Astyanax mexicanus: one gene and its partners. The main gene of each other region encodes a partner of the protein of the gene in region 3 in a complex. Links are inferred from orthologs where the notes say so. Each region holds a gene or a part of one and is shown on either strand. Other genes may lie near its edges. The genes, in order: gins1, dnajc9, mcm2 and gins4.

What was found.
Region 1: mcm2 (region 3) and gins1 share a complex: the UniProt entries of both Homo sapiens proteins name them as parts of the CMG helicase complex. The link is inferred for Astyanax mexicanus from reciprocal best matches to the Homo sapiens genes MCM2 and GINS1.
Region 2: the proteins of mcm2 (region 3) and dnajc9 are in contact, whole or in part, in a crystal structure (PDB 7CJ0), measured with the Homo sapiens proteins. The link is inferred for Astyanax mexicanus from reciprocal best matches to the Homo sapiens genes MCM2 and DNAJC9. Residues at the interface, in NP_004517.2 of Homo sapiens: Glu65, Glu66, Glu67, Asp68, Glu104; in NP_056005.1 of Homo sapiens: Lys185, Arg189, Arg192, Lys244.
Region 4: mcm2 (region 3) and gins4 share a complex: the UniProt entries of both Homo sapiens proteins name them as parts of the CMG helicase complex. The link is inferred for Astyanax mexicanus from reciprocal best matches to the Homo sapiens genes MCM2 and GINS4.

Annotation. Positions count from the first base shown.
Region 1 is NC_064414.1:30,474,895-30,482,575, reverse strand, and holds the start of gins1 (DNA replication complex GINS protein PSF1), read left to right. Parts: upstream 1-4,670; 5' UTR 4,671-4,846; coding exon 4,847-4,921; intron 4,922-6,077; coding exon 6,078-6,142; intron 6,143-6,249; coding exon 6,250-6,348; intron 6,349-7,025; coding exon 7,026-7,116; intron 7,117-7,209; coding exon 7,210-7,326; intron 7,327-7,681. Other genes in the region: pancreatic triacylglycerol lipase, read left to right, coding at 1,557-1,620. UniProt on the Homo sapiens protein: Required for correct functioning of the GINS complex, a complex that plays an essential role in the initiation of DNA replication, and progression of DNA replication forks.
Region 2 is NC_064422.1:19,868,667-19,876,264, reverse strand, and holds the start of dnajc9 (dnaJ homolog subfamily C member 9), read left to right. Parts: upstream 1-4,597; 5' UTR 4,598-4,749; exon of another isoform or gene 4,750-4,904; intron 4,905-5,000; 5' UTR 5,001-5,005; coding exon 5,006-5,179; intron 5,180-6,473; coding exon 6,474-6,614; intron 6,615-6,733; coding exon 6,734-6,988; intron 6,989-7,077; coding exon 7,078-7,161; intron 7,162-7,598. Other genes in the region: si:ch211-207i20.2 (zinc finger protein OZF), read right to left, coding at 291-1,300, 1,993-2,095, 2,464-2,522, 2,877-3,045, 3,540-3,761.
Region 3 is NC_064431.1:668,490-675,934, forward strand, and holds the start of mcm2 (DNA replication licensing factor MCM2), read left to right. Parts: upstream 1-4,425; 5' UTR 4,426-4,565; coding exon 4,566-4,571; intron 4,572-5,464; exon of another isoform or gene 5,465-5,599; intron 5,600-6,540; coding exon 6,541-6,731; intron 6,732-7,307; coding exon 7,308-7,445. Other genes in the region: ccdc51 (mitochondrial potassium channel), read left to right, coding at 1,200-1,523, 1,810-1,974, 2,099-2,887. UniProt on the Homo sapiens protein: Acts as a component of the MCM2-7 complex (MCM complex) which is the replicative helicase essential for 'once per cell cycle' DNA replication initiation and elongation in eukaryotic cells.
Region 4 is NC_064419.1:27,448,003-27,455,269, reverse strand, and holds the start of gins4 (DNA replication complex GINS protein SLD5), read left to right. Parts: upstream 1-4,255; 5' UTR 4,256-4,478; coding exon 4,479-4,580; intron 4,581-6,040; coding exon 6,041-6,127; intron 6,128-7,139; coding exon 7,140-7,253; intron 7,254-7,267. Other genes in the region: cytochrome c oxidase subunit 5B, mitochondrial, read right to left, coding at 130-242, 1,005-1,104, 1,193-1,263, 2,516-2,612. UniProt on the Homo sapiens protein: Required for correct functioning of the GINS complex, a complex that plays an essential role in the initiation of DNA replication, and progression of DNA replication forks.

The DNA of each region.
Region 1 (7,681 bases), on a different chromosome or scaffold from region 3:
ATAGACTTATGACAGCTTGGTAGAGTGTCCAGTGTGGTGCTTGAGATCAAGGGCGTAGGAGCGGGCTTGATATTGGGGGGGACACATTTGCCAATATGAACCCAAGTCCACCCAATAGTTTCCTAGAACAACATTTGTGGAAATTACTTTTAATTAAAAGTAAATTATTATTATAAGGTGATTTTACAACCTAAACATGTTACTCCACATTACAGCTACTGTTGTTAGAAAAATTATGCAAGCAATGTCTGAGTTATCACCTAATATTTAAAATAATATAACAGATTATTATTATTGTTATTATTATTATTATTATTATTATTATTATGTATTGGCATGTCAATTCTGTTGTATATTTACATTTTCTCCTGCACTTTTATTTTTTTCTACTGAGAGCTCTTCTTAAGATGGTGTCCTTTTATGTAAAAGAATGTAACTTTACGTTTCATAGGGACTTTTATAAACGTCAGGATATGTGGTCTTACTGTGAAATACAAATGAACAGAAGTCACGTTACAGCAGTGTTTCTCAACCCAGTTCTTATATATTCTACTGCATATTAAAACTGTTCTGCATATTCTAGAGCTTCCTCTGGTGGATATACATGATTAATTTAGGCTCCATAGGGGGCTAAAGGTTTTTAACAGGTAAACTCAGTAAATGACTGTTTATTAGCTGATCAGGTGGAAAACACTAGTTTAGGGCAGTGATCGGGGTTAAGTAACTGCTTTAAACTACCAACTTAAAGTACTGTACGAAATTCTGGCGATCATCTACATCCAGCTTCTAGATAACTAGTTAGTTAAATCAATTTTCGTTCATTATAGCTCACAGTAAGTCCTGTAATCCTAAATGAATAAACAGTTTGAAAATTAAAGTGATTAGCTGATCAGGTACAGGGAAACATTACATATATTTTTTATTTTTTTCCTTTAACCCTGACTCCCAATCTAGCTAATTCCAAAGATAAGCTTACACACTAACAGCTGCAGTTTATTAATCACAGTGGGTTTAAACTGTGTGCTGATTCAGAGACGTGTATTTTTAACCAGCTATCAGAAACATATCATCACAGTTGAAGTGGTTAGCCTATCGTTACCTTTCTTTTAGAAAAATCTCCGTATATCCATATCTGTTTTAAAATCAGCTGAAGCTGCTGCGTCCCGATCCCGCTGCTAAATCTCACAGCGAGGGGGCGGGGCTTCCCCAACAGCAAACTGCCTCTGCTCCGCGCGCCGCAAAACCAGCAAGCTGATTGGCTGTTTCTACTGAGAGGCGTGACTTAATACCTGAACCGGCTCCGTGATTGGTCCGGTCTGTCTCCTCATTAATAGTACAGCTGACCTGAGCGAACTGATATCATTTTTGGGGGGGACAAATCCACCTGTTTCTAATATTGGGTGGGACATGTCCCACCCATCCCCCCCGGTTCCTACGCCTATGCTTGAGATGCTGAGATAATTCTGAGAACACCACATAACTCTCTCTCTTTTTCTTTCCCCTCTCTTTCTTCTCCTCTTTCTCTTTCCCACTCTTTCTTCTCCTCTCTCATACAGGTTCAAATTCTGTGGAAAGGACCAGGTCAGAGAGAACATCCTCCAGACACTGACTGCTTGCTAAATATGCAGAAGTATTCAATAAATTCTTAACATTGACTCATTCAAACTGTGTCCTTGGAGAGTTTTCTTAAAATGCAGTACTATGCCTCCTACAGTGTTCTGGTCCAATTGAAAGAAGTCAAGTTTTCTCTCTGTAATTTTTTTTATTGAGTCATTATCAGAATTATTATTCACACAATACATTGATAATTTTTTATATATTTTTTTTATTTTTGTCATGCATGTGTCCACCCTGTTATAGCAAGCTGCACCACAAGGTGGACAATGACAGACAACTTAAAAAAAATTGGCATTTAATCAAAACATGATTAACCCAGAGTTGCAGACATATTAAATTGTTCATGGTGACCATGTTTATTTTCTAAAAAAAAATTATATTATACCACAATTCCGTTTTATTTGTGACATTATCAGCTTGGTCATGCACAGTAACGGAAGTTCTCCACATATTACTCTGGCACATACGGGTAACCTAGCACCGATGCAGCTCTTTCAAACCAAATGCGATGTCTTTAAACACCACTGGGAGCTGCTGGATTCTATAGGCACAGTACAGATATGCCATGTCTTCAATAGGCAGCGCAGACAAAGATGCGGTCCACACAAATAAATAAACCCAGCGATTCGAAAAATAAGCATTATTACACACATTATCAGCCACCAATATCAGGTTGTTATTATTAAAATAAAAGCTAAAGGGTATAGTTTCCCGTTAATATTGGGTATTTTAAGCTGAGCGTAAGGTGGACTCTTGTAATTCTGCAGGTCTCGCCGCTGGGGGGCGCCGAAGTAAACAAAACTTTAATTAAAAAAAAGAAAAAAAAAAGCCTAAGGAGCACTGGCCTTTAATCTGCACAGATTTCTCTCCTGAAAACAGTTAATTTGGGTGAATGAAGCGCTTCCATTTGTTTACAGTGCGCTTAGATTTTCCACAATTTTGACCGAAATGGGTGATAATACAGAGCTTATAGCGCAGCTACAAGCAGAGCAGCTATGGAACTATTTTAACTGGCGGAGTGTTTATAACCAAACCAATCGCATATTCTCGTCCTGTTTAACTCAAACTCTTTCAATAAACAGTGATAATGAAACTGTGGTATGATCACAATAATACACTCGATGTTCGTGCTATAACGTGTAGTATTGGCACCTCCTAGATATAGCTCTCCTTCTCGTGTATTAATGCTTATTTATTAATTGCAATAGTATATAGCTGCCATCTTGCGTGCGCTTGCGCAGTAGAGGCCAGAACTGGCGCGGCAGATTACTCAATTACTCTTTGCGTTTCACCGTCATTTTCACCAAACAAGTTACTTAACTTAGCTAACCTGAGTTGGTTATTCTAGTTAACTAGTTAGCTAGCGTTAAGTACCTAACGCTAGGTTAAAAACCTAACCTAGATACTAAAATTAGAGAGAAGAACAAAGTATGAATACTAATGAATTGATGTAGGAAAATTATCCACTTACCAAAAAAACTGAAGAGAACTTTTCCCTGTTAACTGCTGAACAAGCCACTGCTTTACTTCAGAAATCTAATTTTTAACAGTAAAATAGGAAGACCTGTCAATCAACTTGCCCTCAGCTGCCAATCACCACATCGCCACACCCCTTTAAATATCACGGAATAACTCCTATAAAACGTATTAACTGTAAAGACAAACCCTAGGGGTTATTAACACAGGAGGGGGGCTTGCAGAATGTACAGAACCTTCCAAAAATTAATGTGTAATTTTAGATTAAAGATTCCGCCATCTCTCATACAGGTGAATGGATGGGGTTAAAAGCTGTACTGGAACCAGCCACCAGAGGGCGTAAGAGACGTGGTGGCTTCACTTTTCAACCCCTGTTGTGCTGTCCATACTTATTTATATACAGTCTATGGGGCATTCTCATGCTCGTTTAAATAGTTTAATATTTTTTCTAAAAATAGGCTAAATAGCCTAAATTATTGACAAAGTATCCTCAAATACTTATGAAAATTTTGAAAAATTAAATAATGTGTTAATTACCCATACCAACTAATCCTGGCAGCACTGTGGACATGGCAAAACCCCACTAACACATCAAATAAAACTGTATAAAATGTCCACAAGGTTCTCTAAAGTGAATATTAACATATTTGTAACTATATCTATATTTGTAATGTGTTCATTCAGTGTTCATCTTCAGAAATGTATTGTTAGTATTTGTAATGTTTCGCTCAACAATGAATGGTCCATAAATACCCATAACCATGCATATTAATAAATATAAAAAATAGTGCATTTAGTTACAGGATCATCAGATAAACATTTGCCTCCAGACATACTGTTAGTCCTTAAATATTTGGACAGTGACACTAAACTGGATTTCAAATGAAACACTTGAGGTGTTATTGAAGTGTTTCAGGTTTAATTTAAGGGGCTGATCAAAAATATCCTATTAAGTTTTTAGGAATTATAACCTTTTTCTACAAAAGTCAGAGGCTCAGAAGTTATTGGACAAATGAACTTTACCATAAATAAAATGTTAATTTTTAATACCTTCTTGAGAATAAAGGTTGAAACCCACTGACATCACCAAACACTGTTTTTTTCCTTTATGGTGCTTTGCCAGGCCTTTACTCTAGCAGTCTTCAGTTGTTGCTGGTTTGTGAACCTTTCTGCCTTTAGTTTTATCTAAAGTAATGACTTAATGTTGCTTGATCAGGTTCAGATCTGGTGATTGACTCGGCCACTGCAGAGTATTCCACTTCTTTACCTTAAAAAAAAAACTCTTGGATTGTTTTTACAGTATATTTAGGATCATTGTTCATCTGTACTATTCAATGCCATCCAATCAACTTTCCTGCACAAAATACCTGTACACTATATAGCTGTACACTTCAGAAATCATCCTTCTACTTTTTTTGCACATGTTCTAGGAGGGCCCCATGTCTTTAGAGAATTAAAAATAAGGCTTTTCATTAATTTCTAATGTATTATTGGAATAAGCGTACGTTTACTTTTACTAGATTTTCTGACCAGACGGAGTGTCCCACTTTGCGTTCCGTAGTTATCGAAAGGGTCACGTGATCAAAACACCGCATTCTGCCGCGAAAATCGTGTGTGAGGAGCAGCGGGAGAAGCACAGACTGATATAACGCTAACATACAGTCTATGAATACAGTTTGTATTAAATACAGTCTGTATTAAACAGCGTTAGTTAACTAAGCTACAAGGTCCTACTTTATATATCAGTTTAATCATGTTCTGCGAAAAGGCTGTGGAACTTATTCGAGAGCTTCACCGGATGACTGATGGCCAGCTGCCCGCTTTTAACGTGAGTATATTTATTATTTATAGATACCCTGCATCCATTCAACTAACCAGACTGAATAGGCCTGGGTTAATGTGATTATAATAAACGTGATAGCTGAAATAACTGTATTTATGTTTTTATTTAGGAAACAGTGCGGCTTTTTGATGTCACTAAAGTAGATGCTAAGCTAAACCAGTTTAATTAAATCTTGGTTAGTGAACTGGTTCTGAAACGGGTACGCTGAGCCATATAGTTTAGCTAGCTGTAGATACAGAAGCAGCACAGATAGTAGGTTAGCTAGTAAATAATAATAATAGTAGTCTGATAATATTATTGCACAGTGTGTAGCTAACCTACATAAGTACATACAATAAATATAAGAAATGACAAGAACTACAACAACAGAAAAATACTTTGTTATTGTGTTGTGCACTGTGGACAGTGTAGCAGGTAAAAAATGAAGATACATGGTCTTTTTATAACAAATAAAATGGTGAAACTGATGACTAAATCTCAAATAACAGGTGAATAAGATGGAAGTTGAAGGTTTTAGGTTGGCAATAAACCATTTGTTTAGTGCATATTTTAGTTCCTTTCTGAAGGGTTTTAATTGTGGAACGAGCAAAATACAATAACTGGACTTTCTGAAGTTATCTCCTCATTGTAGAGGCAGGCCAACATGATTCACCTTCATGTTTTTACCTTTGAGTTCCTACCTTTATCTCTATGCTTAGGTCTGTCACAATAATTACATTATTGACTTATTGTACAATAATTAGTCATGACTACAATCATTTTTTGCTGAACTCAATATATTGTCTGACGTGTTTACTTTATTAGAACATGTTTATTTTTTGGTTTTACTTATTACTCCTACAAAATTTACTACATATACTACATTTTTCATATTTTAGTTTATTGTTCAGTTTAGTTCAATGTCTTAACATCCTTAATTATCAACATTCTTTGCTCTTTAAAAGAAATATCGCATTAGTAGGCTATTTTGTTATTATATCAGTGGCATAAGTTGGTCTTAAAATGGTTATACAATTTTATTGTAGTTTTTTTTGTGTAATAATTATTGCGACAGGCGTACATTCACTCTAATATACAGTATTAAGGGTGCAGAAGTCCATCTTACATGTGCACAAGTAATAACCAGCATTTATCTCTGCAGGAGGACAACATTCGGCAGGTGCTTGAAGAAATGAAAGCTTTATATGAGCAGAACCAAACTGATGTGTAAGATACCAACTTTCTTACCTTTTGCCATCTGTGATTTTCTTCAATCCCATTACATTTCGTGTTATATCTGATTAACAACATATCTGTTTTGACCCTCTTAAAAGTAATGAGGCTAAAACTGAAGGCAGGAGTGAACTGATCCCAACCATCAAGTTTCGTCACTGCTGCTTGCTGAGGAACCAGCGATGTATCACAGCCTACCTGTGAGTAACCTGGATCTGCTCTAATACTACTCAAGTAACTCTAAGGGCTCTATTATACAGGTCAGTTCCTCTGCTGAGACAGGCAAAAGCGCTGTGCTGTTAAGATATGAACGTGCCAAAGTCAGAGCACACCTGGCTCTTGAAGAGAACGACGACTGGCACACTGATTGGTTTATTTTATGTTAGACACAAAAAATACAAAAGAATTAGTATTTCTTGACACCAAAGACACACCGAAACATCCAAAATCAAGCTGTGCGATCCACAATTGACCGATACACTATAGTTCACTAAAATAGAGCCCTAAGTCTTAATTTATATACATTCATTGCTCACAGGACATTCAATATTCATTATTATAATAAAGGTTCTGCACAAGTTTAGCAAAATTGCATTTTTTGTTGCATTTTATACTCTACATATTAACCATGCAAATGTCTTTGTTACAAACTGGCTATTCAGTGTTTTCCAGATTGTCTATTGTGTATATTAAATACATATAGTAATTTCTATCCCCTTTTCTATTATTTATTTATATGAATTTTATAAATATATCTACATATTTGTTTTGAGGTATATTTTGTGCATTGTTTTCCTGTTCTTCTACTTTATTACTTGATCTAATGAATATCAAAGTATTTCACTATTACTTTTACACCCCTATCCCACTTTAACAGTTATGATCGCCTCCTTCGAATCCGTGCTCTCAGATGGGAGTATGGGAGTGTGTTGCCCACCACGATTCGTTTCCACATGTGTGCAGAAGAGGTGTGTTTTTTACTTTTAAGACCAAGTTATTCAGTATTTCCTTATTTGGAAATGAGGTAATACATATTTCATTTTTTATTATTAAAACTGCAGTTGGAGTGGTTCAATCAGTACAAGAAATCCTTGGCCACTTACATGAGGTCACTTGGAGGAGACGAAGGCCTGGATATAACACAAGACATGAAGCCCCCCAAGAGTCTGTATATTGAGGTAAGATGTCTTACAGCCACAAGAGATGGTATGGTGTAATGGGTAACACCACTACTTTCTCTTCTTTCGCTGGTTGGACAAACACTCCACCAAAGACTCTGAACACACCTAGTTGTGTAGCATGACTCAAATCACACAAAAACAGTATCTCCAAAACAGAAGCTGTACGAGAAATGGAAAAAAAAAAAACTTTACGTTTAATTTTTTCAGATTTCATTCCATAATGAAAAAAAAAAAAAAACATTTCTTTTTATTTTACAATATTTTAGCCTAGCCAAATTAATCCACTGACTTACTATAAACTTTCATCCTCATTTGTAATGTCCTTGGTCCCTAACAGGGGTAGGGCAAGAAT
Region 2 (7,598 bases), on a different chromosome or scaffold from region 3:
CCTATTTTTTGCAATTGCAACTGATTTGCAACAATTCTACCATTATCAACATTCCTTATAGAACTGAAAAGACTAATTGCTTGACTGGTGGGATTGGATATTAAATAAAAAAGGTCATATTTGTGTCAATCAACACCCATTTCATATGAAAAAAAAAAAAAAAAAACAGAGTTGGCACATTTCTTAATAATAAATCAAACCACCTTTTAAACACTGAATAATGCAGCAGATTTTAACAATATTGTGGAATTCCCCTTTAAAAAGTCCTGAGTCCTGAGTCCGAGTTGTACTCAAGCATACACACACTTGTGTAGCTTCAGGTTGCGCGGGTCTGCATAGCGCTTTCCACACTTGTCGCATATATACTGTTTGCCCCCTCCGTGCACATGCCGCTTGTGCGTCCGCAGATGGCTCCCCTGGCTGAAGGACTTGCCGCAGGACTCGCAGTTATACGGCTTCTCGCCCGTGTGGATCCTCTCGTGGAGCTTCAGGCTGTTGGAGTTGTTGAACCACTTTTCACAGTACCGACAGCCAAAGGGCTTTAGGTCCGAGTGCGTGCGGCCGTGCGAGATGAGGCTGCTCTGCTGGCTGAAGCTCTTACCGCACTCCTTGCAGGTGAAGGGCTTCTCACCGGTGTGAATGCGCTTGTGGATCTTGAGGTTGACCGCCTGCCGGAAGGTCTTGCCGCAGAGGTCGCAGGGGTACGGTCGTAAGTCGGTGTGGATCCGCTCGTGGTTGCGCAGGTTTACAGCGTGCCGGAAGGACTTGCCGCACACTATGCAGGTGTGGGGCTTCTGGCCCGTGTGGATCAGCTTGTGCGTGATGAGCGTCTTGGCCCGCGTGAAGCTCTTCCCGCAACTGGAGCAGACAAAGCTCTTTTGGCCCGTGTGCGTCAGCTGGTGCCTCGCCAGGTTCTGAGCAATGTTGAACTTTTTGCCGCACTTGTCGCAGCTGAACGGCTTCTCGTCCGTGTGGATGATCTCATGCGTCTTCAGGTGCGCCGCCTTGCCGAAGCACTTGCCGCACACTTTGCAGATGAAGGGCTTATCCCCAGAGTGCACGCGGTGGTGGTCCACCAGGCTCTGCTTGTGGGCGAAGGCCTTGCCGCAGAGCACGCAGCCGAAGGGTTTTTCACCTGTGTGGATGCGCTGGTGGGATTTGAGGTTGCTCACTGTGGAGAAACTTCGCCCACACTCTGAACATATGTAAGCTCTACGTCCTCCAAAGCTCCCAATGTCTTGATCAGCTTCGTTGCCCTCTTCTGTTGTTCGACCTTCTGTGGAAGTCAGCTCCAAATGACCTATAATAGGCAAATATTGATTAAAATCAGAATTTGAAGAAGAAGAAAAAAAACAGGCAGCAAAATTCTGAATAACCATTAAATGCCAGATAATTTGCTCTGGTCTGAAAAAATAAATAATAGTTAATGCGTTTGTAAACCTGAGCATTTTTCCCCTTGTTTTTTTATCATTTCCACACAGGGAAAAAGAGTTAAGCACACCAAAATGTTTCAAGACAACCTGTGTGAGAACATTCTCTCTGCTTACTGGTCAGACCTGTCCGGGGTGGGAGTAAGACAATAAATACAGCAAAAATGTCTTGTGTTCTGGACTATTGATGTGGGGCGTTGGTAAACACTTGGTATTTATGTATAGCTGTAGTAACTGTAGTATCTGGGTAATCTTGTGGAGCATCAGATAACAAACATGTCTTGGCTGTTAAACTACATGTGGGTGAGAGATTAATAATGTCTGATTATATTTGATTGCTCAATAAACCTCTTCCCAATACCTTTTCACATAATTTCAGTAGAAACATTAGATGAGCATGTGTCTGGCAAAGTTTCAGAAATAATTAAAGGACCTTTTTGGTTAACTGTACACAAGATTATGGGGGTAAAAAACAACTCCTAGTGAAAGAGACTGGATCAAAAGATGGTACAAGATAAGATAAGACAAGTATTCAGAAATTCAGAAAATAAACCCATATTACCTGCTATGATGGACTTCAGGTCAATGTTTCCAAATTCATCTTTGATGGTCACTGCCAGGGTTAATGGAGAGTCTGGTTGCTGAGGCTCATCTGTGTCTGCAGACTGAGAGAACAAAACACTTACTTCTTACTTTTTTCAGGTCAGAGGTACCATAGAGAAAGGGGGAAAATAGCATTTTTCCAAAAAGGATAGGGAAGTACTGTATATTCACCAAATTTGTCCACCAATTGTTTGCATGCTTTGAACTTAGTTTGCTTTGCTTTTATTTTATTGGGCTCATTATTAGAACAGTTACAGACATGTTGAACTGTTTATGAGGACCTTTTATATTAATTACCATTATATTTGACCATAACAGGGTGGACAGCAAAAGTCATGTTATATTGATACTTACCCATCAGCTGCTCTCAACAATAAAACACCTGCTTTTACCCCTGGGCAAACCACAAAATACATCTGCAATAACTCACCTCATCTTGCATTCTCGTCTCCGAGCTTCTTCCACATCCATCATAGGAATGTTCCTCCTCTAAGAGTAAGAAAAATAAAAAAAGAAGTGAAGCAGCAATTAAATTGTTAAATTACACAGAGAACCTTCTGCAGTGAAGCACAGTGAGTCCAAGGGGTCTGGACTGAGTGATCTATCATGTTCACTTGGTTTATATACCAAACTATTGCTTTAAAATTTGGCAGTGGTGATTCAGCAGTTAAATGGGGTTAAAAAGGGTTCAATATCCAGGTTCAACAAGCTGCCACTGGGCAAGGCCCTAACTTTAACAGCTTCCTGGGTGCATTGTTTGCCATACTGTTACAATGAATTTTCTTCTGAATTAACTTTTCTGTTTTTTAATATTGTATGAATCACTAATTACCAAGTCCTTACCCAGCTCTCCCACTGAGAGGATGTTCAGGATGCTCCCCGGGTGCTGTGCTCTCTTTCCTGAAAAAGTCTTGCACTCTAGTTCCAGCAGAAACTTGGTCTCATCCACAAGCTTGATGATCTTACCTAGAGCCTCATTGCCCAGGACTTCCATGACTGACGCGAACTTCTTCTGCAAGAAAGAAAAATCACAAAACAGGAGTGTGCTTTAATAAACAGGAATCAATTTGATGACATGACATCCCTTTTATAAGCCTGCATTCTCCTTGAGCATTGCTATTATATAATTTAAAGCAGACTTTTATTGATTTTCACAACTACAGTTACAGTACAACTACATAAATATTGGGGGATTTGGGATAAGCTTCACAGAGTGAAGAAAAGACATGGAGAAGCAAATGATACACTTTTAAAAGAAGCTACTTATTTAAAGCCATAACCCAACACACCCCCATTTTATAAATGAGCTCAAATAAACAGAAAACAGAAAGAAACACATTGAATAAGAAGTGGTGTGTCCAAATGTATGACTGGAACTGTATTTAAAACTTAAAAAATAAACATTACATTTTATATATAAACTGACATGTTATACTACACTTGCCCCCACTTTACTATGAGTTTGAACCCCAACCTCTTTTAACCCCGTGGCTGAAAACCGCATACCAGTCTCTGCTCGTTCTCCCCCTGCAGTAACAGCGCTGCTCTCTGTGTCGGTTCTGTGTCTTTTTCTGTTGTTGTTGTTGTTTGTGTTCTTGTTGTTGTGGTGGCGCTCGTGCTCTTGTGCTTGTCCCGCAGCAACAGCAGTGCGCTCATCTCCGCCACCGCCGCGCGGATCAGCGCCTCCACCACCGCCGCCAGGTGCGCGTGCAGCGCCGGCACAGACATCAGTCCCGCCGATCAGTCCGCTAATCGATTAAAGACCCGATAAATTAATCCGTTAACCAGATCGATCACAAACAGCTGCAGTCAACCGCAGCATTGCTCGCCTCTACACACAACACACAGATAACACTGGTAACAGTGGCGCGAGAAGTTACATCCGGGTAACCAAAATCAAAATAAAAGTCCCGCTTCCGCTCCGCAATCAAAACTTAAAGAGCCACTAGACCCTAAACCATAGTTTTTTTTCATTAACAGCTGAAGTGTGTTCATAAGAAGAAATAAAACGTACCAGTCCTGCTTATTTATTTTTTATAAACATTTTCTAACCTTAAAAACACATTTATTGTGGTAATTTCTACCTCTGTAGTGTGTAAAGTGTGAATGATGTTTTCTTTTTTTTTTTTTTTTTTAAGTGTGAATGATGTGTCCGTGTGATTTGGTACGCAGACACATCACAATGCAAATCAGTCAATCGTTTTTCCACTAAGAAGTGTATGAATATGTATCTGATATTCCCTTAATAATTCCCTTAATAATTCTGTATGTATTGTTTTCACAAAGCAGAAGGGAACATGTTTTGAAACACGTGATAAAAGATTAAATACTTTTAAAAATACTTTAAAAACTGGTTGCAGATGAAACACAAGACAATTTAAATTGCTTATTTAAAATAGCAGCATAAATGAATAAATAAAAAATAGTGAAAAAGTGCATTAAGAAAAAAAACATATCAACACTTTATGGCACAAACTGTATTTATTTTTAAGAAGGAAAACACACCACTGCTTTTGCAGGTTGCAAAATGTTGCCCTGACCAATGTCCGCCTGCAGGCAGCGCTACTCCTCCCGGACCTCAACCTGACCGGCCGAAGAAGAGCAGAAGGCGGCAAAGTGAGAGGAGAGAAACAGCGAGAAGAGGGGGATTAGAGGGAAGAGAGGAAAACAACGGAAAACAGGGGACTATTTTAATCCCGTATCCAGTGTACAGCGGGTTAGTGAGTGTGTGTTTAATTCAGCCTTGTGTTAAATCCTCTGGACTTCTCTTCTTATTGGAATTCTTCGTTCCACCTTAAACTTTCAGGCGCTGAATAGAAAAGCGCTGCTCTGTTTAAGGTGGAATTGAGGATTGTAGCTAGCTAATAGAAGGTTAGTGGGCGAAGGGGGGTAATTAACGGCTCTTCCTCTGCTGAGCTAGTTAGTTAATCAGTTAGGTTGATGTGTTTATTTTGATTTTCCTCACAGGAGTCATGGGTTTGCTGGAGCAGTGCGAGCAGCTGTTTGGTTCCTCCAGTCTGTATGAGGTGCTGGGGGTCCAGAAGGGGGCTTCAGACGCTGATATGCGGCGCGGCTACTACAAGCTCTCCCTGCAGGTTCACCCTGACCGAGCCCCCGGGGATGAGCAGGCCACCACCAAGTTCCAGGTAAAAACAGCACACTGCACAGGGTTGCCAGGTCCAACAAAAATATCCAGCCCATATTCAGTCTAAAACCCGCCCTTCAGAAGCTTAGACTAGCCCGAAATACAGCTCCGGAGGAAAAAAAAGAGCCCACTCTAGTTTCTGAATCAGTCGATCAGATTTTGCTATTTATAGGAATATGTTTGTATTTCACCACATGGTCATTTAGAGCATTTATTTGACAAAAATGAGAAATGGCTGAAATAACAAAAAGATGCAGAGCTTTCAGAACTTAAACACTGCAAAAAAAAAACAAGTTCATATTTATAAAGTTTTAGAAGAAAATCCAATTTTTTTAATGCATCTTGGCATGTTCTCCTCCACCAGTCTTACACACTGCTTTTGGATAATGTTATGCCACTCCTGGTGCAATAATTCAAGCAGTTGGTTCAAGCTTGGTTTGATGTCTTGTGATCATCCATCTTCCTCTTCATTATAGAGGTTTTTCAATGTGGTGAAATCAAAGAAACTCATAATTTTAAAGTGGTCACTTAATTTTTTTCCATTGCTGTATATGTCTGTCACATGTTTAAAGCATATGGCAAAACAACTAAGTGCATGACTTTGTATTTGGATTACATGGGATTTATTATCAGTATTGCTATTTATCTTTGTCATTAATAATCCTGTAACATTAGTGTTTTATATCCCAGTCAAAAACATTTAGTAATAACATAATTAGCAAAAAACTCATTTCTGTTCTTGCCCCTCCTGAACTCTCTTTTTTCCTCTTTAACATTTTATTTGTCATCGCCTGGTGATTCCTAGATACATTGTTCCAAAAGAAGATTGATTTTAGTGTTGATTTGTACACATTTGCCTTCCATGTTGACGTAACATCCAAGGCAATGCGCAAATTTGAGCTGAGGGTCGAGTGAGCAAAAATAAGGGGGTTTAGTGCCTCTTTAATTATAGTTATTAATGTAAGGTGTGTTCTTAACTTATCTGTTTCTGAGTTATTAATATATAAATCACACAAGGTTTTTATTGCATTACTTCTCATTTGAGCACTATGAAGGTCTGTTGCTGTATTATAATTAAATTGGGTTAAAGCTAGTGTGTGGCTTATGGTCTGTAAAGCTTGTAGGACCAAGCAGAAAAGCATTCCCGAACTAAAAAGATTATTCCATTCACTTTGTGCAGTGTGCCACTTCCACTGACAGAAAACAGCCCCAGACCATGACACTACCGCCACCAAGTTTACAGGGACATTCTGCATGATTTATCTGTGTAAACCTTACATTGCTTGTGCTTACAGATTCTCGGAAAGGTTTATGCTGTGTTAAGCGACAAGGAGCAAAGGGCTGTGTATGATGAACAGGGCATAGTGGATGAAGAATCAGACTCCATTGATCAGGACCGTGACTGGGAAGAACATTGGAGGAGGCTGTTTCCAAAGGTCAGTACTCCTTAACAGCAACTACTCATAGATCTAGGCACTGATTTTTTTAATATGAAGGGATTTTTATCTAAAATACTATGGTAAACAAATCCTCTTGTCTTTTTTTGTTGTATCAGATCACCCTTCAGGACATCTTAAACTTTGAGAAGCAGTACAAGGGCTCAGATGAGGAAGTGCAGGACCTGAAGAGGCTCTACCTGCTTCATGAGGGAGACATGGACCACATCATGGACCACGCACTGTGCTGTGAGCACGGAGATGAGCCTCGCATCCGGGAGATCCTTCAGAATGCCATAGATGCTGAAGACATACCTGCTTACAAAGCTTTCACCCATGAGAGCACCAAGAAGAAGGCCAACCGCAAAAGGAAGGTCGGTGGAAATATAGAACAGCCCATGGCAGTGTTTATTGGTCTCCAGTACTTGTGTAGTGTTTTACGTTTATGATCTGTGTTGTCCAGGCCAAGAAGGAGCAGCAGGAGGCGGATGAGATGCGGAAAGAGATGGGACTGGATGCTGAGGACAGTCTAGTGGCCATGATCCAGGTGAACATACATCTACAGGCTTTATTCTTTAACAAATCTGTTTGATCTCAGTAAATATACTGGCAGACCCGAGTAGATTATGGTTAATTGTCCTTCATACCAGATCCACCATAATTCTACCAAAAAAAATCTATTAACTTGTTTAAACATGGTCAGTAGTGCAATGAGCAGATTTTGTTTAAGACAGCCCAGAGTAAATACATATGGCAAAATTCTAATCAGAATATAATACAGACTCTAGTCACATGTATTTACCAAGTGTATAAATGGGTCTAGGAGAGGACAATTCAGTATTTGGACACAGCTGGCTGTCAGTGGTTCTTTCCAGTAGCCCAACAAACACGAGTGCACACACGAACATGCATCTGCTTAAATTTGCATATTTTCTTAATAAGATGCAATTTAAATAGAAAATTTACTTTTTAAAACCTCCTGTC
Region 3 (7,445 bases):
GGAAATGTGCCTGAAGAAAATGTTAGCTTAGCATGACTTTCATACAGATAACTAACTAACTGCTCAAAGCTAACTCACCTCTGTCTGTCTGATATTAGTTCATAACAGGCTGGTTTTGTATTTAAAATGCTCAGGGTTTCGCTCGAAGGCAGACAGGACTAACTAACAGAGACGGTATCTGGTAGGTAGGTTTGGTAACTAGTGTGTTAGATAACTAGATAACTGTGTTTTAATATATATAAATGAATTTGAAGCTAGCTAGCTAACCTAGCTAACTAATTAGCTAGCTGGCTAATAGTGAGCTGCCGGGTGAATTATTGACATCTGATATATGGCAACTTCAGTGCTTAAGTGTTTAAACTCTTATAGCTTTAAAATGTCATGTTATATAGGCAGATATTTAATATTTTATTCTATTTTTGCTATATATTATATAGGATAGCTTGTGTAAAGTGAAAGTGAATGGTGTTGAATGGTTATGTATATTAAAGTAGATTATATTGCAATTATATTATCATTATTTTCATGTGTGTTTATTCTTGCTGCTGACTGATTTCATTAAAAAACACTGAGAAATGAGATCAATTTACTATCTTATTCTAATTTAATTAACCCTTTTAGAACCTTCATCTAGTATAATAGACATCATGTATTATATATTTTTATTTTTAAATGTTTTGTTGTATATAACACTATTTGAGAGCTGCTGTCTATCAGAATAGATCACGAACCAGCAAATGAACAAGTTTATGAACCAATGAAACGGTAACATTGCCCCATACACTAGACTGGAAAAACAGTAGAATAGTACCTAGATCCATTTATGCAAAGTAACAGCTATTTTATACTAATTTAATGTGATTCAGAATACTTTTTAATTATGTTTTTTTCCAGTTTATGGAAGGTTTAGAAAATAAAAGTGTGAACATCAAATGTAAAATATTACACACATGCTTCCAATACAATAGAATTTATAATAGATTATTAGAGCCTTCTTTTCTGTGCATTACAGACAGAAAACAGCATTTTTACATTTTTTCATCACTGAAGATGTTGAAGAAGTTAAAAATGGTCCAATTGCCTTTACCATACTCACGGTTCTCTCACCTTAGAACATTTTACACTGTTTACATTGTTTACATTGTTTCCCACAGGTTGCCAGATTAAGGTGTGTTTCCTGCCCAAATGAAAGCAAGTCAATGAGGTACAGAGCAAGCTGTGTCCTACCAAGGAGCTATGGAACTTGCTTCTACCTTCTCAAAGTCCCTGGCAGAGTCCAGTGGAACATCTCCATCAACAGAACCTACTGTTCCCCGAAGCAGAACCCAGAGGACAAGGCTGATAAGGCCGTGTCGTCTCAGGACCGTGCCTCGGCCGCCCTGAAGAATGTGGCAAAGCTTGGGAAACAGTGGGGACAGAATTCTGTGAGGACCATGAGCACTACCGTCAATTACTGGTGGGCGAAGTACGAGGAGTTTGTGGGTCTCAATGAAGTTCGAGATGCTCAGAGCAAAGTTACAGAGGTGAGCAGCACCAGTCTTACACACTGCTTTTGGATAACTTTATGCCACTCCTGGTGCAAAAAGCCATATTGGTGATGGCTTATGATCATCCATCTTCCTCTTGATTGTATTCCAGAGGTTTTTAATTTGGTAAAATCAAGAACCAAGAAACTCATAATTTTTAGTGGTCTCTTATTTTTTTCCCAGCGCTTTATATTATAGCTTTCTAAATGCTGAAGAGCACTTCTTTAGACTTAATCATCTTTTTATGTTTGTGTAATCCTTGTATCTTTCATCCTGTCTAAAGGCAGAGAAGGCGTTCATGGTAGCCAGAGGAATGGTCCGTGAGGCTCACGTCAGTTTGGAGGCTCTTCAAGTTAGATTGAAGGAAGTCAGAGATCGCCTGGACCGTGTATCACGAGAGGAGGCACATTATCTAGAACTGGCAACACTGGAACACAAGCTACTGCAGGTTTGTTGTAATTTCCAGAAAATGTATTTTAGTTGCCAAATATTCTGTGCATCCTTACTAATAACATGATAAGAGGTTCTAATTTACTTAAACCATCCACTCACTAACTTCTTTGTCTCTGCAGGAAGAGCGTCGTCTGAAAACAACCTACGAGAATGCGGAGGAGTGCGAACGAGAGAAATTTGCGCTCTTCTCGGCTGGTGTGCGAGAGAGCCACGAGAAGGAGCGATCTCGGGCCGAGCGAACCAAGAACTGGTCCGTAATTGGTTCGGTGCTGGGTGCCATCATTGGGGTAATGGGGTCCACTTACGTAAACCGGGTACGCCTTCAAGAACTGAAAGGCCTGCTGCTAGAAGCTCAGAAGGGACCGGCGAGTCTACAGGAAGCTATCAAGATCCAAGCCAGTTTACACAAGAACCAGCAGGAGGAACTCCGTGGCCTCATAGATACGTTTAGGGCAGCTGTGAAAGGTGGAGGAGTCGAGGCACAAAAAGTCAAGCCAAGGTCCGTCTTAGTGCCAGCAGCAGTGCCCGTTTCAACCCCTCCGTCTACACACGGTGCCTCAGAAGAAGCCGTGAAGGAGATCCTCCTCCACAGCCAGAAAGCTCAGGCTCTCATGGAAGATCTCAAGCCCCAGCTGCATCAGCTGGAGCAGAGCGTGGGGAAGGTGGCGACAGAGCTTCACGCCGTGAGGAAATCTGTGTTGAATCGTCCTGTTGAGAAGCCAGTCATTCAGACTAAAGATACGCAGCTGCTGGTGTGTGATACAGAGAGCATCATCCAGGGACTGGACCAGACGGAGAAGAGACTGGAGGCTCAGATCAATAAGACTACTCTGTACACCACAGTTCTGACCTACACTGCTTTTGCTTTAACTATGCCAGTGCTGTACGTCATCTTTAAAGCTTCATAATAGGGTACAGGGTACTGGATACTAGTGTAGGTAGATCGTGTGCAGTTAAGGGGCCAATGACCGACAAGAATAACCTCAGATTTTATAGGAGACCATTGGAATTATATCATGGCTTAATGCACTGATGGATAAACACTGATTAAAATGTTCTAAATGATCTGCTGCTTGTTTAATAATATTGTTTAAATATGTTCTTAAGAAACACTTACCTGCTCTTTTAGTGCATCTTATGAAAGCAAGGGTATTATCCTCATTCTGTTAACCTCAGAAGTCAGATTTAGTTTGCTACCATTGATACCTATTGATTAAAAAAAGCATTATACACTATTTTGCATATCCAAACAGCATGGAAACACCATTACCACAGGTAGAAGTTGGTGCTGTACACAGTACTGTGTGTATGACTAATTTAACAAAACACTAAGGGATAGACATGATAATAAACTATATCATACTGCTGCTTCTACTACTACTGTTTATGTGGGGGCAGCCATATTGGAATTTAAAGTTGGCGATCTCAACTTTCTGAATAAGAAATACGACCTATATGAGCATTCCTGTTAGCTAAAAGCAGATTCTACTCTAATAAGAAGGTTGTATGATGAATATTGAATATTTCAGTGAGGATTTTATTGTATTTGCCTAAAAAAAACGTAAATAAAGATAGAAACTCACACTACAACTCATTCCAAATATATATTTGATGGAGTTTCATCACTCCAGAGCAGGGTTCTTTAATTCTGTTTCCCCTGCCTTGCAAATATATGGCTTTCCTTATCTGCAACACTCATTTTATTTGTAAGGCCCTCGAAATTCTACCAATGAAGTGTGGTGCTACTTTGATGGGTAACTGTATACCCCCATCGCTAGCATTGTAAGCTTGTTGGGAACATCAGCTAAAAGTACTTTATTTTTTTTTAATGCTGGGGGAGAATGGAGGAGGACTATTGGACAAAAGGGTGTACTGGTTATCATGTTTTACTGCAACACAAGTCCGTTTCACATTGGATTTCTCCTTTACGAGCGCGTGGGAAAAGGGAAAAGTTTATTTAAATCATTTTAAGATAAATGTTATAAAAATATTACCGAGCTATAAGGCCAGACTATGACCTAAAAATAAACACTTTAATTGTGTGTTTTATTTTATTAATTTATTTATTCCTCTGTACTGTCAGTACAAAACGACAATGTGCTTTTATTCTATAAAATATCCTACAGTGACCCCCAGCGGAATTACAGATCCGGGGGCGTGGACTTACATCTCCAACCAACGGCAAATTAGAGCAGCGGAAACTCGTCATGTGATCATATTCATGAGCTTTCCCGCGCTTTGTCATATGCGGCGCTGAATGTGTGCAGGAGTACAGCACAGGGAGGCGTGGCTCTTTAGCCGACGGACCAATTAGAACTCGCGGAGACTCTGTAGCTATACATATTCATAAGCTTTCCCGCGCTTTGTCAAATACTGCATTGAATCTGTGTAGAAGTACAGCACAGGGGGGCGTGGCGCTCTTGCGGACAGACCAATTAGAACTCGCGGAGAATCCTTAGCTATACATATTCATAAGCTTTCCCGCGCTTTGTGGTCACGTGGGAAGTTTCGCGCGAAAACTTCGGCTTGCAGGGGAAAGTAGCCGGAGAGTGAGCAGAACAGGCGTGTATACATCAAACCAGCACGATGGCGGTGAGTTAAAGATTGTTATTTATTATTTTAATAAAGTGTATTAAAGGAAATAGTCTGAAACGAGGCTGATACTGTTAAACTGATTATATGTAGACATGTATTATAATTGAAGAATGTCATAATACTGGTTATTTTGAGAGACAAATCTGATAGATTTGGTTGAAGTTGTTGTCTTTTATAGAAATGCAGTAACAAGTGCACATAATAGCATTTTACAAGGCCAAATGTTAAAAAATATATATGATTTGATCTATTGTAAATTATAAATATATAACTATATAGGTCACTAGTTCGTAAGTTAGATATAAACAAATGTGCGTAGTTAATGTAACTGAATGGAGGCATTTTGTAATAATCTGTCAGCCTGTGTTCAATAACATTGGTGACTGCTTACCATAAGATATACGTACACGTTATATATACGTATACGTTTTTTACGAATAGATTTTTAAAAATAATTATTGTATAATTATCAAAACATTAATTGTCTTCTGTTACTCCTGCTGTTAACCTGCTAACATGGGTCACAATATTTACCCGCTGTGGGATTAATAAAGGCATTGTTTTATCTTATCTTAACATTTAAAATATATCATCTTGTTTTAACGTTATCTATAACTAGATATTACTGTTATTATTGTTGTACAGCTGTTCTTTTTAAGGGAATGGTTAAAACGCTAGTTATTTATACGGATGCTGTAACTACATTTTAACTTTAACTTTTTAATTTTTAATTTTAACTTTGACATTTTTAAAATAAATAACTTGATTGTATTACTTAAAAATATCTAACTTTAGATATTTAGACGCCAGTAAGTTAAATGTGTTTAAGTGAGAGAAACTTAATATTTTGCTGTATTGTTCTGTCTGTCTGTCGTAAAGTTAGTACTCTAGTGAAGGACCACGTTGGGCAGAAGTTCAGTCTTTGTTGAAGCTCCTGCTGGTTAGCATTGTGGGCTAAATCGAGTGTTTATTACTTAATCAACCTTATTACGCAGCCCTGAAGCAAAATATGAGGCGAATCTGAGGTGAATAATTTTATTTAGGCGCCTTTCAAGTGTCTGTACAACAAAATATTAAGTTTTTCTCTCAGGCAGTGTGTTTGTATTTGCAGCTACAACAGGCTAGCCAGAGAGCTGCCTGTTTCCTCAGTTTAAGTTAGCTAGCTAAGCTAAAGTAGCTATAACGTTACTGGCGGGAAGGATTTAGTATTAAAATATACTAAAAGCTGATAATAGAGCAGTTTTAATACCTACATGTTGGTAACGATGGCTCACGTAATCCAATTCGTTATTGATAAAATTGTCCGTAGCTTCTGTATTGAATTCTTTCGTTCCACCTTAAATACAGCAGTGCTCTGGGGCACCGAGCCAGATTCTCTGTAGGTTAGCTAGCTAAGTCGTGTAACATTTTTAAGGTGGAACGGAAAAGTCTTAAAAAGTCACATTGCTTCTTGCTCATAAAACTACGTTCCAAAGTTATAAAAAAACTTTTTTTCTATCAATAAAGCACATGCATTATTAAGAATACTTATAACATATATATTTGTAACTTAAATATATGTTTATTATTTAAAAATGGAAAACAAAATAAATTGAAATGGTAATTTCAGCATAATTATAGCATATTGTGCTTTGTCTGTTGGAATTGTAAATATTTAGTATTCAAGAAATGTTATGTTTTAGTTTTATAACTGCATTTCTTTGAAAAGCAAGACCAAATAATGTTTAGTTTGTTTAATTTATGCTGTAGTGAAAAATGATTCACTGAAGTCCTGCGGAGCAATTTTCCAGTTTAATATCTTACTTCGCTAAATGTATATTTAAAATTAGGATTTACAGTGATGCTGGAATCATGTCTGGTGGGTAAATTGCTTATACAATTCTAGAACAGATGGTTCAAACTGGCGCTATTTACGACCTTGAATTGTAATTTTCTAACTTTTCTTTTCATTCTTTTTATACTCCAGGATTCATCCGAGTCTTTTCACATGGCGACCAGCCCCAGCCGTGGCTCTCGGAGGGGGGACCTGACCTCCAGCCCGGGGAGAGACCTGCCTCCTTTCGAGGACGAGTCCGAGGGTCTGCTGGGGGACAACATCCCTAATGAGGAGGAGGAGGAAGGAGATGGAGAAGAGCTCATTGGGAACGGGATGGAGATGTAATGAAATTCCTCTTGCTAAATGCACTTCATTCTTGGCCAATATGATTCCAGAAATTTACTTTCGTAAAGTTTTAAACATTTAAACATGTTGGCGAAGTGTATGCCCCAGTTATTTTATGTTTATTTGATGAATTATTAGTGGTTCTGGTATTATTTTAAGTATTATATTTTAGTATTATTTACATTAAGTATTATTGAAGTATTGTGTAAGTATATATTGTTTGTGTTGCTAAGTTAGGGCCTTAAGTGAAAGGAAGGTTTTAGAGAGATTTTAAAACTGAATCACAGTGACCTCAACGATATTACCACACGTGTGTAAAATATTATTTGTTTTCTGCAGTTAAAGCAGTAATTATAAAACAGACATTGAAAATATGCTAATATATTAATTCTGAAAGAATATTTCTGATATTCTCCAAGCCTCAGTCAAAGAGGATGTTTTGTTTTTAGTGAAACACCAGCTCAAAGTAGGTATAGAAAACTGGTTTTAGAATGTTTCAAGTTAGTTTCTGAATGTTAGCCCAGCAGCACCACATACTGTCACATGTTAATCTCATATTTTGCTCTTTTCAGGGACTACCGTGCCATCCCAGAGCTGGATCGGTATGAAGAGGAGGGTCTGGATGATGAAGAGGACCTGAGTGAGCTCTCTCCTGGAGCTCGTGCGGCTGCAGAGGAGGCCATGAGGCGCCGAGACCGAGATCAAGGCAT
Region 4 (7,267 bases), on a different chromosome or scaffold from region 3:
ACAATTCCTTGTGCACCAGAGTACTTGCACATGTGTATGGAATAAGGATCAGCAAAATGAGGTAAAATCAATGGAATTTGTAGAAACTGACCAGGTTAAAGCTACTGTGCAATGTGAAACAGCAATTACTTAATGAGGCAGTTCATGAGGGACAAGTTTGTAATGGGCACCACAAGATGGACAGCGCTGGGCCTCTCCCTCGTGCAGCCAGAACCACACCACTGCTGTGTTATCCTCTTCACCTACACAAAAACAAAACATTATAATAAAAAAAAAAAACATAAAATAAATGTTAGTGATTGCTTGTAAGATGGTTAAAAAAGGGCTGCAGCTTAAGACTAATTTCCAAACCAAGATTTATCTAAATGCAGTGAACTTTCAATTTATTTTATGTTACCCATCTCTTTGCAAGTACGGCAAAGCTTTCATACAAAGTAAATTTAATGCAAGGAATCTTGCCCATGAACCATTATTACAAACATCTTGTCTCTCCCAAGAGTACCAGGACTATCCTGAATATTAGCAGCTTTTATCTTTTTTTTTATTTTATTAGGTGCACCAGCACAAATGTTACAAATGTTAACACCGCAGTTTTACAGGTTGACTTTTTTTTTCCTCCTCACTGTCCATCTAGGCAAAATTGACTTGTAAAGAATGAACTAACAACCTGGTCAGCATAAAGTTATTTTTTTGAAGCACTATTCTAGAAGAAAGGTAATATACGGATGTTTATGTTTAAAGTGCTTCACTGACTTTAAATTTAAGCTTAAATCTCTCAAGATAAATAAATAAAAACAAAATGTAAAAGTGCAAGTGTTTTAAGGGCTTCAAACCGAACATCTAATAGTTTAATATCTCATGGATTATCCTCCATGACCCAAGACAAATTTTATAAAGTTTGATGCACCTTTATTCACTTAAATTACAAAACAGCGGTTACTGAAATACGTCTTAAAGTGCAACTACACTCAAAAAAACAAAAAACGTTTAAAAAAATAACTTACAAACACAGCCAACGATTCTCTTCTTGTTGATGGAAGGCACAATATGCGGATCTTGCTTAGTGCCTGCGTACTCCTTTGGCTTCAGCATGCTGTAGGGATCCTGAGAATAGAAGACACCACAGACTGTAATTAACCATTATCTGACATGAACAGTAATTTAAATGTATCCCAAAAATGGCCATACTTACAGCCCCCTGTTTAGCTGCGTTCATCACGATTTTCTCCAGCCCAGTGGCCTGCTCCTCATCAGTAGGGATTCCTGCATGCACATTTTTATTAGAAAATATTAAAAAAAAAAAAAAAAAAAAAAAAAAAAAAATTAACTGTCCTGATTAAAGAGACATTTAATATTGTTAAATATTTTTGTTCAAATCAAATCCCATATGCAGGACAAAAGCTGGCCTAGCCTACCAGCATAGGCTATGTTTGTTCTTAATGACCAGCTGGTCTTGAGCTAAAGTTTTATTTTTTTAGACCTTCGGCAAAAGACGAGACAAAAAATTTAAACACTCAAATTAAAAGTGGGTCCAGTTAATATTTTCCCTAATTTGTGTTTTATTTTGTGTCTATATGTTCTTGTGCTTTGGAAAAAAACAATAAAAATATATTTACAAAATTATCCCTAATTTGTTAAAAAAAATGTCCAGACTACATAAAATAAGAAATTTAAAGAACTTTATGTTATATTATTGTATTTCTATGCTGTTGGAAAACTAAAATATGAAATTGGCCTTTTGCAAGTTTGTGACCACAGACATAACATACACAGAAAAACAAGAAAAATATATATTAGTTTATTTGCTGAATTAAAGCAAATATTACAATACTTCTGGCGAGTTGAATATGTAATGTTTTAAATTAAATAAAAATAATATCCAGAATTACAGTTGTTTCAAAAATAGAGATCAGTTGTCCACGATTTGTTTAAACGTTTACAAAATATTAAATCAGCTCGGTTATTTATATTTGCACATTTTGGTCTCTTATTAGCTAGACATACAGCTGCAATATAAAGCTATTACGAAAGAAATAACACTAACAGAAATGGCTCAGACGTGTTTTGTGACTGTATAGCATTAGATAATACTTATAATAAACTATTTAATTTTCTCTAATTGAAATATTAGAGGTGCAGTTTTGAGTGAGGAGCTAGCACTAGGTAACTTAAGCTAACGCTAAAGGAGGACATTTCCACAAGGAAGCGGAGGACAAACCATAAGAACACCTCAGGCCTAGAACTAGCGTTAACAGGTCACTTTGTCTGGTAGTAAATACAGCAGTCCAGCGCAAATTAATCACAGGTTCAGAACAGTTATTAATACAGAGATCTGTAAGTGTCAGATAGATAAAGTCATTAACTGAACCCGCAGCAGGATGTGAGCGCCCTAGCTTCGTCCTTCAGTCTCTCAGGGTGAGCTAAGCTAAGGAGGCTAATCTGATCATTAAATACAGTTTCCGCTGCGGCTGTTTTTCACTCAGACGGTTATAAATGAGAGTAAAGAGCGGATCACCTCCAGCTGCGAACCCCCGAGCAGCGGCCTGGACCGGGGCAGCCCGCCTGGAGAGAGCGGCTCTCACCGCAGTTCGGACGAGGAACCTGGACGCCATTCTGCTGCTGAACGGGATCTGAAGTGAGTCCGACTGAGAGGAAGCTTATCTAAACCAGCTTCCTCTACAGAGAGCGGAGGACTCTCCTGCCCCTGCTGTCAGGAGGACTAATCCACTCATTACAGTTCAGTTCATACACAGGGGTCAAATAACTACAGTACAAATACTTATTTACCTTACTGAAGTAGAAATGTTGATTTTCTATCTATACTTTACTGGAGAAACAAGACCTTTAACTTCTACTTCTTACATTTACACACAATTATCTGTAAGATGTACTTCTTACATTTCTCCACTTCACACTGCAGCAAGGATATACAGCTCTAGAAAAAAATGTGACCACTTCAGTTTCTGAATCAGTTTCTCTGATTTTGCTATTTATAGGTAAAATTTCTGAGTAAAATGAACATTGTTGTTTTATTCTATAAACTACAGACATTTCTCACAAATTCCAAATAAAAATATTCTCATTTAGAGCATTTATTTGCAGAAAATGAGAAATGGTCAAATTAACGAAAAAAGGATACAAAGCTTTCAAACCTCAAATAATGCAAAGAAAATAAATTCATATTCATAAAGATTTAAGAGTTCAGAAAATAAACATTTGGTGGAATAACCCTGGTTTTAATCACAGTTTTCATGCATCTTGGCCTGTTCTCCTCCACAAGTCTTACACACTGCTTTTGGATAACTTTATGCCACTCCTGGTGCAAAAAAATCAAGCAGTTCAGCTTGGTTTAATGGCTTGTGACCATCCGTCTTCCTCTTGATTATATTCCAGAGGTTTTCAATTTGGTAAAATCAAAGAAACTCGTAATTTTTAAGAGGTCTCTTAATTTTTCCAGAGCTGTAGCAGACATATGTAGCCTAGTATAAAGATGTCCATTTACATTGTACTAAATGCATTCATTTTCAATGGGCGCATATGTGGCTGACACAGGGATGGCACTGTAGTGCAATTGTTTTCAACATTTTCAGATTTTAAAGTAACATTATAGTCATTATGTCTTTTAGATTTTTTTTTTTAAGTTGTGCACTACAGGACCCTGTGGCACAGCCTAAGCTTTTGTTCTTACTGAGATCAAATATCCAACCAACCAACCAACCAACTCTTTTTTTGTAAAAAGAGTAAATAATAGTAATTAGTAAATGAATTAGTGAAAAAAAGTAGAACGCAAAGTAGTTGACGCAAAATTAAATTTATTATTTTCATGATTGTATTATCGTTCATTATTGTTCATGTTGTTACAAATATAAGATATAAAATAAGAATTGTTTGCAGAAAAAAAAACTAAATAACAATAGATAGTAAATAAATTAGTTTTATAAAATTGATTTAATGCATTTAGAATGTATTTTTATTGTTTGAATTTTTTTTAATTTCATTATTTAGATTTTGATTTTATTAAATATGTAAATATTGACATAATGATTTAATAACAAATTTTTTTTTTTTTTTTCAATTTGTCATATATCCTGCACATTTTGCTGTTTTATGTACAAACTTTCTAACCTCTGAGCAGGTTTACGCATAACCTCACCATAACAGCATAACCCACTGTTTTGGATATTATACACTGCGCAGATCTACGGAGCATAACCTCCGTGAAGAAATAATGACGACACGGGAAACTCTTGCTGTTTGGCGGGAAATCTTAGTGCGCGCTGTGTGTTGGTGTGTGTTGTTGGTCTGTGTCAGTGAGAGGCTGCTGTTAAACTACTGACTGTGTTTACAGACGCGTTCAGCGCGGTTATCCGCTGGATTTTGCTCTGTGATTGTGTTCATCTTGGTCAGTTAACCCTGTGCTTTAGGAGAAGGACGGTGTTAAAGACTCGTATCTCCGGGTACGTTAGGAACTTTGGGTCATGGCTGATGATGAGTTGTCGGACGCTGGAGATCTGAGCGGAGAAGATGAGAGTCAGGAGGACGTTCTGACTCCAGCTGAACTCATCTCCAGGCTGGAGGAGGTCAGTCGTTTCTTTAACCTTTACTGCAGAAGCTGGCGGCTCTGTTTCACCGTGCAGATCTTTACCTGAGGCTTAGGACTGTCCAGTAGCAGCAGGGTCTCTCAGCTCCTCTGCCTCTAAACAGGCTGCTTGCTCTCTGTACTGGAATAAGGAGACTCTGCTCTGAGAAACAGTCTGCTGCTGTTTAAAGCAGCAGTCCGTAAGATTTATTTATTTTAAATTGACAGCAGTTGTATAACCTACCTGAGTGAAAAGAGGACAAAATATTGTAATAAATGGCGCCAGAATGCCTTCATAAACAAGTCGCATACATTCTAAAACCAGGGTGTTTGGAGTCAATGTAACAGTGATCTGTTATGTGTTTTTAATTAATGATCATGAAATAATTTTTTAAGTTTTTTATTCAGTTTTCTATTTATTTTTTTTTGCATTTTGTAGCAAAAATCTGATGGTTTAATCATACCTACCTTCTTTTTACAAGATGGAAAATTGTATTTTATATTAATTATTTTTTGTGTTTTGTCCCTTGTTACATTTTCCCCCTTACATTAGTTTTACTTTTATACTTTAAATAGTTTTGAAACCAGTACGTTTTAATCTTTTGAGTAAGCAGCAAGGTGTAAAAAAAAGTCAGTGTAACCTTCATGTGTTTTGAATTAATTCTTTTTTTTTTTTTTTTTTTTTTTTTGCCACTAGTGATCAGAAATAAAAATACATCATTTTTTTTATTTTTTTTATTCAGTTTTCTGATTGTACAGTTTTTGCATTTTGTAACAAAAATCTGGTATACTAATGGTATAATGATATCTATTTTCTTTTTACAAGATGAAAAAAATAAATTTCATGAAACTTCCTGTAATTCAGATCATGAGAGACAGAAATGAAAAAAGAAATTAATTGAAAACTAGTTGTTAAGTGGACAAAATTAAATAATGAAATGTATTAATATTTATTAGTAATGAAATCTAATTTACCTTAAAGTTGAACTGATTAACGTTACACTGACCGCTTGTAGGTCCAACTGGGAGTTTTCGGTCCACAAAGAAACAAGCACGCGATTTTACTAGATTGTAGTAGGACATTGCTGTGAGATCAGGATGTTGGATCAACACCCCACCTTATCTTAAACTCACCAACTCAGCACAAAAGCACTGAATGAACCACAGTAATTTATCAGAACACAACAGGCATGGTGCCAATAGGTTTATATGGTGTCCATATTGATCATGTGATTACTTCAGAATCTCACATTTAGTTTTTTAGTTTTAGTTTTTTTTTTTTCTATAGAGTTTATACAAATCATGGGTTAGAAATGAGGGCAGTTTAAAGTAACTGAAATGTAAAGAACTAAGCAGAACATGTGTCTGGATATTTTTGGATATATGGTGATTTTGATTGTTATTATTATTTTTTTTTTTTGTGATTACTTTGTATTAATAAGCTGTTTTTCTGTTTTTCAGGCCTGGCTGAATGAGAAATTCTCCCCAGAGCTTCTGGAGAACAAGTCTGAATTGGTGGAGTGTGTGATGGAGCAGCTCACTCACATGGTAAGGATGGATGATGAATGGGATGTGAAGAAGCAGTATATACGTGTGTGTGTGTTAGCTTTAGGGCTAGAAGTCAGACTGCACTGCAGGGTTTTTGGATTTAATGCTTTCTAGGGCACATTTAGCCTTTTTTTATTCTTCTATCACCTCAGGAGTTCCCTAATATGGAGCTTCAGCATTCTGGTGCATAATCCTCATTTTTATAACACTCATAATCTCTGGTAGAGCTGACTTCAGGTTTCTGCTGTAACTCATCCACTGCTAAAAGTGCCTAATGGTCTTCTGTAAGTGGTATTGCCTAAAGCAGTCATCTGATGTACATTCAGATAAAACCATCAGATAAATAAGGCACCCTGTTTACCTAAATATATAATAAATAAATGAAAGCTATAGGGATTAGATGAATCTTTGTCTCATACCTTGTCTGGAAATTAAATAGTGTTTAGCCTTTATCCAACTTTTTTTTAATGTAAAAAAGGGTAGATACTAGGGTAAACCATTTCATACATGGTAATATAGTTTTTAAAAATTGAAAGAAAAAACACAAATTCTTGTAATAATATTACAATACTTAATACATTACAATACAATAATAATCGTAATACGTATTAGTGGTATTCTGTTTTTAAATTAGTCATTTTTTTATTTGTTTTGCTATTTTCTGTGAGGTTTTTATGGATTATTTTTGTAAATATTTTTATGTTTAGAGTTTATATACATAACCTAAATATTCTGCATGTTAACATTGTGATATATATTTTTGTTACGTGTTGTGATATGTAGTGTTTTGTCATATTACCAAGAATATCTTTATTGCAGAAATACGATATTGTCCACCCCCCAGTGGTACCTCTTTCTCTCTAACAATACTAACAATATACTTGCCTGCACTGTTATGGTTTCCTGAGAGCACTAAAGACATAAAGATTGTAGTTTTTGTTTTAAAATGCCATTGGCAGATTATGCTAAATAGTATCAGCTTATATCAGTATGTTTTCTTTCATAACTTCAGGAGGAGAATCTGCAGCGTGTGAAGAAGGGAGACCTAAAGGCCAGCGTCCACCGCATGGAGATTGACCGCATTCGCTTTGTCCTGAGCAGCTACCTCCGGTCTCGACTGCAAAAGGTAGCGTGGAGAAT